Linked DNA regions of Xenopus tropicalis. Each later gene encodes a partner of the first gene's protein in a complex. Links are inferred from orthologs where the notes say so. Each region holds a gene or a part of one and is shown in the gene's direction. Other genes may lie near its edges.

What was found. Proteins that work in one complex are often made in the same cells at the same time.
Region 2: the proteins of pdzk1 (region 1) and slc15a2 are in contact, whole or in part, in a crystal structure (PDB 6EZI), measured with the Homo sapiens proteins. The link is inferred for Xenopus tropicalis from reciprocal best matches to the Homo sapiens genes PDZK1 and SLC15A2. Residues at the interface, in NP_001188254.1 of Homo sapiens: Asn386, Gly387, Tyr388, Gly389, Phe390, His391, Leu392, Asn393, Ala394, Ile395, Arg396, Gln407, Tyr436, Glu437, Val440, Ile443, Gln444; in NP_066568.3 of Homo sapiens: Glu723, Thr724, Lys725, Lys726, Thr727, Lys728, Leu729.
Region 3: the proteins of pdzk1 (region 1) and akap10 are in contact, whole or in part, in a crystal structure (PDB 3TMH), measured with the Homo sapiens proteins. The link is inferred for Xenopus tropicalis from reciprocal best matches to the Homo sapiens genes PDZK1 and AKAP10. Residues at the interface, in NP_001188254.1 of Homo sapiens: Asn386, Gly387, Tyr388, Gly389, Phe390, His391, Leu392, Asn393, Ala394, Ile395, Arg396, Phe402, Lys404, Tyr436, Glu437, Val440, Ile443, Gln444; in NP_009133.2 of Homo sapiens: Pro655, Leu656, Glu657, Lys658, Ser659, Thr660, Lys661, Leu662.

The regions. Positions count from the first base shown.
Region 1 is NC_030678.2:8,070,598-8,074,097, forward strand, and holds part of pdzk1 (Na(+)/H(+) exchange regulatory cofactor NHE-RF3), read left to right. Parts: coding exon 1-102; intron 103-765; coding exon 766-1,053; intron 1,054-1,224; coding exon 1,225-1,527; intron 1,528-3,500. UniProt on the Homo sapiens protein: A scaffold protein that connects plasma membrane proteins and regulatory components, regulating their surface expression in epithelial cells apical domains.
Region 2 is NC_030685.2:88,685,674-88,689,173, forward strand, and holds part of slc15a2 (solute carrier family 15 member 2), read left to right. Parts: intron 1-1,432; coding exon 1,433-1,567; intron 1,568-1,713; coding exon 1,714-1,869; intron 1,870-2,105; coding exon 2,106-2,152; intron 2,153-3,500. UniProt on the Homo sapiens protein: Proton-coupled amino-acid transporter that transports oligopeptides of 2 to 4 amino acids with a preference for dipeptides. Transports neutral and anionic dipeptides with a proton to peptide stoichiometry of 2:1 or 3:1.
Region 3 is NC_030678.2:30,346,033-30,349,532, reverse strand, and holds part of akap10 (A-kinase anchor protein 10, mitochondrial), read left to right. Parts: intron 1-2,246; coding exon 2,247-2,291; intron 2,292-2,550; coding exon 2,551-2,739; intron 2,740-3,383; coding exon 3,384-3,500. UniProt on the Homo sapiens protein: Differentially targeted protein that binds to type I and II regulatory subunits of protein kinase A and anchors them to the mitochondria or the plasma membrane.

The DNA.
Region 1 (3,500 bases):
GAGGCGAAGGATCACGAGGAGGTGGTGAAGGTGATTCAGAAAGGAGGAGACAAGACCACTTTGCTGATTGCGGATAAAAAGACTGATGAAATGTATTCCCTGGTGAGGAACCAACTGCCAACAGGGTGCCCTGTGTCCTGCACCCCCAAACCTTTCTAATGTCTACTTGTATTTTGTAGATATTCTCTGTAGCTCCCAAGGTTTATGAAGCCTATTGCTTGATTTTCAATCGGTCTTCATTTTTTATTATTTGTAGTATTTTTAGTTACTTCACTTTTTGTTCAGCATCTCTCTAGTTTGAAGTTTATGCAGCTATCTGGTTGCAAGGAACCAAATTACCTTAGCAACCAGGGAGTGGTTTGAATGAGAGACTGATATATGAACAGGAGAGGGTCGAAGTTGAACAATAAGGTATAAAAAGTAACAATAACAATTAAATTGGAGCCTCACAGAGCAATAGGTTTTGGCTGCCGGGGTCAGTGACCCCCATTTGAAAGCTGGAAAGAGGCAGAAGAAGGATAATAATTAAAAAACTGTAAATAATAAAGACTAATAGAAAAGTTGTTCAGGATTGGCCATTCTATAACATACAAAAGTTAACACCCCATTTGAGCAAAGGTCTTCTCATTATGAGAGAACTACAGGAGATCTATAATATTCCTTTATGGCCCATAATTCCTGCCTAGACTATAATGTGAGATCTCACTGAAGCCACCAAAACCCCCTTCTGAGGGTGTCTCCTAATCACTATATTTGCACTTTCAGGCCGGTGTCTCACCCTATTTATATTTACAAGAAACCCAAGGGGAAATTAAGAGCAGCTCTAAAGAAGAGGCCACTCCAGCTCCGGCAGTAGTTCCATCGCAGACTCCGACACCAACTGTCGCCCCAGCCCAACCTTCTGCCGTGGAGCCGAAAAAACCTGAAACACCGGCTGCTCCGACTGGCGGCCAAAAGCACAAGCCCAGGCTGTGTAAGCTGCAGAAGGGTAACAATGGGTATGGCTTCCACCTCAATGCCATCAAGGATACCCCGGGCCTGTTCATGAACCAGGTATGGTGCCCATTGTGACTAGAGCTATAGTCCATAAAATACAAGCAACATAGTTACATGGTGCAAACCCCCTGCCATCTAGTCAACCAACTGAAGGACTAAGCAATTCTATTTATGTTGAGTAGTTAGAACAAGAACTTGTGTCAGTACTAACATCCGGTCCATTGACAGGTACTAAAGGGAGGTTCGGCAGATGTGGCTGGGATAAAAAATGACGATGTTCTGGTGGAGGTCAATGGAGTAAATATGGAGAAGGAGAGCTATGAAGACGTCTTGATTAAAATCAAGGAAACAAAGGGGATCCTGACTTTGTTGGTGGCATCACAGGAAGCCTATGACTACTTCAAGGGGCAGAAGATCCCAATAACTGCCTCCTTGGCAGATCCAGTAAGTGAGGTTTCTCCCAGCTCCAGTGCGGCTGCCCCGGCAAGCACAGCAAGCAAGGCAAGAGCTGCTCCTGAGCCAGCAGAAGTGGTGAGTAGGAATTATGTCTGAGAAGGTACTTCTAACATTGCTATTATTGGAGATGTAATGGAAGGCTATTTCCCTTAATGCTACCACACTTGTCCAAGTGAATCCATTGGGAAGCTTAGGGGCAAGAGATACTGTAGGTCAGTGCTGTCCAACTGGCGGCCCCCTCTGTGTGGCCCCCCACCTGTCTGGCTGCTATGATGGCTTACCTTTGAGTAAGCATTAAATGGTATCAGTACTGTGATTAACTGACCCCCTGCATGGTTCTCACCTCAGATTCAGGCTGTAATCCCTCTGTATTGTTTAAATATGTAATCCCCTGTGTTTTTCACACCTTTTAATCTCTGCATTGTTCCCCCCCTGCAGTGTTCACACCTCAGGCTCAGGCTGTAATCACTCCCATTGTTCACTTCTTCACACCTCAGACATAGGTACTGTAGGCAGAGTATGGCACATACAGCCAGCATAGGGCAGGTAGAGTATGGCACACACAGGCAGCATAGGTCAGGGAGGGTATGGCACACACAGGAAGGGTAGGGCAGGCAGAGTATGGCACACAGAGGCAGCATAGGGCAGGCAGAGTATGGCACACACAGGCAGGTTAGGGAAGGCAGAGTATGGCACACACAGTCAGGGTAGGGCAGGCAGAGTATGGCACACACAGTCAGGGTAGGGCAGGCAGAGTATGGCACACACAGTCAGGGTAGGGCAGGCAGAGTATGACACACAGAGGCAGCATAGGGAAGGCAGAGTATGGCACACAGAGGCAGCATAGGGAAGGCAGAGTATGGCACACACAGGCAGAGTAGGACAGGCAGAGTATGGCACACACAGACAGCATAGGACAGGCAGAGTGCTGCCTGTGTGTGCCATACTCTGCCTACCCTATGCTGCTTGTGGGAGGTGAACCTGGCAGGGGTTTGTTGTGGGAGTTTGTTAGCAGTTGGAAATAGCCATTAAATGGTCCCTAAGGTGTGTAATTATGTACTGGGGGTTGCTCTGCTATCCACAGGGGAGGAGGAGGAGGCATATGGAATTTAAGGGTATATCTTAATATTACATAATTCTTTCACATATGAATGATGGTTGATATCCCCACAGTAAGGACCAATCATTTGGGATTTTGCTGTGCTACCACCATTGTGATAAAATAGGTGTGGTTTGAAGTGGGTGTGGTTTCAAAAATGGGAGTGGTCAAAACTGGCTTCCATTAGCGGCCCTCCACCATGTATGCTAGAGAAATTCCGGCCCTCGGCACCGTAGAAGTTGGACAGCACTGCTGTAGGTGATGCAAACAAAATGTCACTAGGGGGGTCCCAGTTTTCAAAGAAGCACCTGAACTTCTAAGTGTCTTATTTAATGGCACATCCACAACAAGGGGCTGCAATTCCCAGCATGAAATGCTTCCCTAATGGCTCTCATTGAACGAGAGGTTGGTATGAGGGGGATAAAAGAAGATGGAAAAAAAGAAAAATGGTGGTGACTCGGTGTCGGACTGGGACCCCAGGGACCCACCAGAAAACCTTAGACTATAGGCCCACTCTCCAAACTATTTTTCCTCCCTTTCCTCAACCAACCTCTTTATTCTCATAGTTTATTTTATATACATGCTAGCATCTATTCTTCCATCAATTTCTCCCCTTTGTTCCCATTTAGAAATAGGGAATGACCATGCAACTGGCCAAACTGTTAGAAGCAAGAGGGCCCACTAACACCTAGGCCCATCGGGAGTTTTCCTGGTATCCTGGTGGGCCAGTCTGACACTGTGGTGACTGTACAGTGGAGCTCAATATAAACTAATTTGGGTAACAAATTGGCACATTGCATCTGACATTGCACTTTGCACACTGGGCTTGCAGTCGTAAATGACCCTTGGTGACTAGGTGTGGCTGAATGTGCCAATAAAGTGTGGCTGGGTTTGACTGTGTGGGAGTGTGTACCTGAGTTGGAGAGTCTTTGACTGAGTGTAAAGGTCC
Region 2 (3,500 bases), on another chromosome or scaffold:
GTAAGCATGGGTGTGTTCATGGGTAAGCATGGGTGTATCCATTAGAAAGCATGGGTGTGTTCATGGGTAAGCATGGGTGTATCCATTAGAAAGCATGGGTGTGTTTATGGGTAAGCATGGGTGTATCCATTAGAAAGCATGGGTGTGTTTATGGGTAAGCATGGGTGTATCCATTAGAAAGCATGGGTGTGTTCATGGGTAAGCATGGGTGTATCTATTAGAAAGCATGGGTGTGTTCATGGGTAAGCATGGGTGTATCCATTAGAAAGCATGGGTGTCATGGGTTGGGTGTGTTCATGGGTAAGCATGGGTTATCTATTGAAAAGCATGGTGTGTATCATGGGTAAGAAAGCATGGATGTGTATGGGTGGGTGTATATTGGGTAAGCATGGGTGTATCTATTAGAAAGCATGGTGTGTTATGGTAAGCATGGGTTTGTATCTATTTAGAAAGCATGGGTGTGTCATTGGGTATGGGTAAGCATGGGTGTATCTATTAGAAAGCATGGGTGTGTTTATGGGTAAGCATGGGTGTATCTATTAGAAAGCATGGGTGTGTTCATGGGTAAGCATGGGTGTATCTATTAGAAAGCATGGGTGTGTTTATGGGTAAGCATGGGTGTATCTATTAGAAAGCATGGGTGTGTTTATGGGTAAGCATGGGTGTGTTCATGGGTAAGCATGGGTGTATCTATTGGAAAGCATGGGTGTATCTAAGCATGGGTGTGTTTATGGGTAAGCATGGTGTGTCATGGGTAAGCATGGGTATCTATTAGAAAGCATGGGTAAGTGTTTTTATGGGTAAGCATGGGTGTACCATTAGAAAGCATGGTGTGTTCATGGGTAGCATGCATGGCATATCATGGGTGATCCATTAGAGAGCATGTGGTGTGTTTATGGTAAGCATGGGTGTATCCATCCATTAGAGAGCATGGGTGTGTTTACGGGTAAGCATGGGTGTGTTTACGGGTAAGCATGGGTGTGTTTATGGGTAAGCATGGGTGTGTTCATGGGTAACACATGGGTGTATCCATTAGAGAGCATGGGTGTGTTTACGGGTAAGCATGGGTGTGTTTATGGGTAAGCATGGGTGTATCCATTAGAGAGCATGGGTGTGTTCATAAGTAAGTATGGGTGTGTTCATGGGTAAGCATGGGTGTATCCATTAGAGAGCATGGGTGTGTTCATAAGTAAGTATGGGTGTGTTCATGGGTAAGCATGGGTGTATCCGTATGGTTACTATTCAAGAGCATCACTGATTGGTCGGTGGGTAGGCTTCAGCGAGTCTATGGGTAGTTATGTGTCTTTACATGGGCATCGGTGGGTGTGAATTAGCCAGTGCCAGCTGGAAACCAGTATATTTAGGGCACATCATTGTTGTGGGCAGCTATGCCAGGGCTCATATTTACCCAGCGTCTGTTCCCCACATGCAGGAAACTCTGCCCCCGGTGCCCAAAGCCCAGGTGAGTTACCTGCAGGTTCTAAATCTCGCTGGTGGTGACGTTGATGTCGACATCCCAGGGTTTGAGATCATCAAACAGCCCAGCCTGTACGGTGCCAATGCGTTGGTAAGTACCGCCCCCTGCTGGGCAAATGCCCGACCCTTGGGGTTCTGGGTGCATAGGGCATAGGGCAGATATTACTGCTTTGCACATCAGTTAGACTGCAGGCCGGGACTGACACATAACGTTTCCCTCCTGTTGTCTCCGCACAGGATCCAGACTACGTGAAACTGGAACTCACCACCGCACACAATAACTTTGATGCCAAACTGACAGTCGGAGCAGTAACCGCAGACTGCCCCATCCACATCCAAGAGAAAAGCAGCTACAGCCTCCTTGTCTACGGCGACAACCTGAACTGCGATCTGGTCAGTAGGGGGGATACCCCACTGTATCTACTATGGGTCGGCGGTGCCAGTACCAACTACTACTGTCATTTCCTCCCTTCCAATAAGCAGTGAAACAGCAAAGGCTTCGCCCGACTGTAACCGTTATCCCCCCTACTACTACCTGCTCTGTTACCTTCACATTCATTGGCCACTTTCCCTGTGGCTACAAAGTCTCTCTCTAGAAAAGAACCTTTATCATTTTATTTTATTTTTAGATTGAAGAATCCCAAACCAAACCAGCAAATGGCCTGGCAGCGGTCAGGTGAGACTCCTTTAATTACAACATGGGGACAGTAGGACAAGATGGAGACAGTAGGGCAAGATGGGGACAGTAGGGCAAGATGGAGACAGTAGGGCAAGATGGGGACAGTAGGACAAGATGGAGACAGTAGGGGGCAAGATGGGGACAGTAGGGCAAGATGGAGACAGTAGGGCAAGATGGGGACAGTAGGGCAAGATGGAGACAGTAGGGCAAGATGGAGACAGTAGGGCAAGATGGAGACAGTAGGGCAAGATGGAGACAGTAGGGCAAGATGGAGACAGTAGGGCAAGATGGAGACAGTAGGGCAAGATGGAGACAGTAGGGCAAGATGGAGACAGTAGGGCAAGATGGGGACAGTAGGACAAGATGGAGACAGTAGGACAAGATGGAGACAGTAGGGCAAGATGGAGGACAGTAGGGCAAGATGGAGACAGTAGGACAAGATGGAGACAGTAGGGCAAGATGGAGACAGTAGGGCAAGATGGAGACAGTAGGGCAAGATGGAGACAGTAGGGCAAGATGGAGGACAGTGGGTACAAGATGGGACAGTAGGGCAAGATGGAGACAGTAGGCAAGATGGGGACAGTAGGGCAAGATGGAGACAGTAGGGCAAGATGGAGACAGTAGGCAAGATGGGGACAGTAGGGACAAGATGGGGACAGTAGGGCAAGATGGAGACAGTAGGCAAGATGCAGGGGACAGTAGGACAAGATGGGGACAGTAGGGCAAGATGGAGACAGTAAGGGGGACAAGTGGAGACGAGTAGGGCAAGATGGGACAGTAGACAAGATGGGGACAGTAGGCAAGATGGAGACAGTAGGGCAAATGGGGACAGTAGGGCAAAGCAGGAGACAGGTAGGGCAAGATGGGACAGTAGCAAGATGGAGACAGTAGGGCAAGATGAAGGGGACAGTAGGGCAAATGGAGTATAGTAGGCAGATGAGACAGTAGGACAAGATGGAGACGTTAGGCACAGATGGAGACAGTAGGGCAAGATAGGGACAGTAGTAGGGCAAGATGGGCGACAGACCAGATGGGAGTAGGGCAAGATGAGACAGTAGGGCAAGATGGAGACGTAGGCAAGTAGAGACAGTAGGGCAAGATGGAGACAGGTAGGCAAGTGAGACAGTAGGCAAGATGAGACAGTAGCGCAAGATGGAGACAGTAGGGCAAGATGGGCGACAGTAGGATGAGACAGTAGGGCATGGAGACAGTAGGGCCAAGAGGGAGACAGTAGGCAAGATGGGACAGTAGGCAAGATGGGACAGTAGGACAACGATTGGGGACAGTAGGGCAAGATTGAGACAGTAGGGCAAGATGGGGACAAGTAGGACAAGGATGGGGGCCA
Region 3 (3,500 bases), about 22 Mb from region 1:
CAGTGCTGTCCAACTTCTACGGTGCCGAGGGCCGGAATTTCTCTAGCATACATGGTGGAGGGCCGCTAATGGAAGCCAGTTTTGACCACTCCCCTTTTTGAAACCACACCCACTTCAAACCACACCTATTTTATCACAATGGTGGTAGCACAGCAAAATCCCAAATGCTTGGTCCTTACTGTGGGGAGATCAACCATCATTCATATGTGAAAGAATTATGTCATATTAAGATATACCCTTAAATTCCATATGCCTCCTGCTCCCCTGTGGATAGCAGAGCAACCCCCAGTACATAATTACACACCTTTGGGACCATTTAATGGCTATTTCCAACTGCTAACAAACTCCCACAACAAACCCCTGCCAGGTTTACCTCCCACAAGCAGCATAGGGCAAGCAGAGTATGGCACACACAGGCAGCACTCTCTGCCTGTCCTATGCTGTCTGTGTGTGCCATACTCTGCCTGCCCTACCCTGCCTGTGTGTGCCATACTCTGCCTTCCCTATGCTGCCTCTGTGTGCCATACTCTGCCTGCCCTACCCTGCCTGTGTGTGCCATACTCTGCCTTCCCTATGCTGCCTCTGTGTGCCATACTCTGCCTGCCCTACCCTGCCTGTGTGTGCCATACTCTGCCTGCCCTACCCTGACTGTGTGTGCCATACTCTGCCTCCCCTACCCTTCCTGTGTGTGCCATACTCTGCCTGCCCTACCCTGACTGTGTGTGCCATACTCTGCCTGCCCTACCCTGACTGTGTGTGCCATACTCTGCCTGCCCTACCCTGACACTGTGTGCCATACTCTGCCTGCCCTACCCTGACTGTGTGTGCCATACTCTGCCTGCCCTACCCTTCCTGTGTGTGCCATACTCTGCCTGCCCTACCCTGACTGTGTGTGCCATACTCTGCCTGCCCTACCCTTCCTGTGTGTGCCATACTCTGCCTGCCCTATGCTGGCTGTATGTGCCATACTCTGCCTACAGTACCTATGTCTGAGGTGTGAAGAAGTGAACAATGGGAGTGATTACAGTCTGAGTCTGAGGTGTGGACACTGCAGGGGGTGAACAATGCAGAAACTAAAAGGTGTGAAAAACACAGGGGATTACATATTTAAACAATACAGAGGGATTACAGCCTGAATCTGAGGTGAGAACCATGCAGGGGGGGCTGTTAATCTCAGAACTGATACCATTTAATGCTTACTCAAAGGTAAGCCATCAAAGCAGCCAGACAGGTGGGGGGCCACACAGAGGGGGGTCGCGGGCCGCATGCGGCCCGCGGGCCGCCAGTTGGACAGCACTGCTCTATATTATCTATGGCAAAGTATTTTGTGGAGTTTAGTAGTTGTAAAAAAAGGAGCTGCTACTAGTAATTCAGTGTGTCTTCACCCTAAGGGCTCTGGCACACGGGGAGATTAGTCCCCCGCGACAAATCTCCCCAGAATGCCATCCCACCGGCGAAAATGTAAATCTCCGGTGGGATGGCATATGCGGCCATTGAGAGGAAACTCCCGCGATTTCGGGGAAATTGCGGCACCGCGTATGCCATCCCACCGGCGATTTACATGTTCGCCGCCGAGATGGCATTTCGGGGAGATTTGTCACGGGTGACTTATCTCCCCGTGTGCCAGAGCCCTAAGGGTAAAGACACACGGAGCTACTAGCAGCAGCTACTTATCATGGCTACAAAGATAGACAATGCTGATCATTTATTTACTGATAATTGTCTCTATATGTGTATTTTAGAAGAGGCATCTCTCAGTATTGTCTATGGCAGGGTATTTTTTTGGTGTTTAGTGACTGTGACAAGTATCTCTGTGTGTCTTGATTCTTATGTTTGGATATTCCCTGTTTGTATTATTGTAAAGCACTCCCTAACGTGCTAGTACTATATAAATAAAAGGAATGTAATTAGGATATGAATAAAGAATGACAGATGTCAGAGTGCTTCACTGAATGTTTATAACCAAGCAATAAATGGAAGCACTGCATATACCGTGTTCACCTGTAAAATAAAGTAAATTGAGGTTTAACTCATCAATGCCTCTTCTACAAGATTGGATATATGGGATTGACAAGCTCAGTTTGGTGAAGACCAGGTCATTTTAATTGTGTGAGGGGGGGGATGCCTTGTTAGAAGCACAAAAGTACTCTTAGCATCACTGGGGGTGGGGGTGGGGTCTGAACATCTGAATAGGTTTTGTAGTATTTTATCACAGATATTAATGAATATATTTTTTTTCTTTCTAGGCAAAGGAAAAGATCAAGATAAGCCAGATGTAAAGATATTTAGAGGTAAAAGAATTAAGCGTTAGCACTAAGAATCTATGTAGCGTTACCTTTGCAGGAAGCTATTTTGAAGATGATTCATTTTTTTAATTAAACTAAATTGCAAATATTATTTAAATGACTATCTATTTATATTTCCAAACCCCTTTAATAATAATGCATTGTAGAGCTCCAGCTGACTGGACCAACATACTAACAAAACAAGTCTTATTTATGATTGTAATGGTGGTTGATTTATATGTTCTGATGATTATTCTTTGAATAGCTCAAGCACCGGCATCAGTACATTCCCCTTCAAGAAGTCCGAAAAACAATGCTTTGTTGGAGGCTGCGGGACCCAGCTATGTGGCTATCAATGCCATCTCAGCTAACATGGACTCCTATTCAAGTAGCAGAACTGCAGCCCTCAAGAAGCACCCGATGCACATGGAAGCAACACATTTTGGAGATCTTGGTAAGATATGCTAACAACTGAGTACCCCATTTAAAACAGTTGTGCTGGTTTGCTTACATTTGTATATACAAACAAGTACATGGGCTTTTGCAGCAGCCGGAGGTCATGTACATGGGGCAGTTGGTGAGAGCCAGAGAGCAATTGCATGGGGCCATTAGCGAGAGCCAGAGGTAGAGTACATGGGGTCATTGTTTTGTCAAGGCGTACTTAACAGGACCATTGGAAAAGCCTTTGAAAACCAGACAGCAACTGTGAAAGGTCTGTAGGTAGCAAAAACTAACTTAAGGCCAATAATACTAGTCATTAGGCGGAGTCATACCACCTCACCGGTCTGCACCAGTGTAATACATTCATATGGCCTTTGTGCTAATGACTGGATCAGTCTGATTTACCACACCAGCTCATTTGTTGTATGACCTTATTAATTAGATGAAGTATGAATGAAGTAGGTTTTAGTGTGTTTGATAACTCAAGGTACTCTGCTAGTAGGACTTACTGAGCATTACAAAGTATTGTAATTTAGTGTTACATCTAAATGAAGCGGCGCTGTACCATAATGCCTTATGTGGGATTTGGTTGTGTTTATTAGGGAGGATAAAGGACTTGTAAGCCAATGACCATTGTAATTTTTTGTTGATACATAGGTCGATCGTGTCTGAAGTATGAGGCCCAAGAGACAAAGTCCAGCCTTTCAAAATCACTGGATCAGGTGCTACAAGATAATGTGGCTCTCCCATATTTTATCCAGTTTATGGAACTCA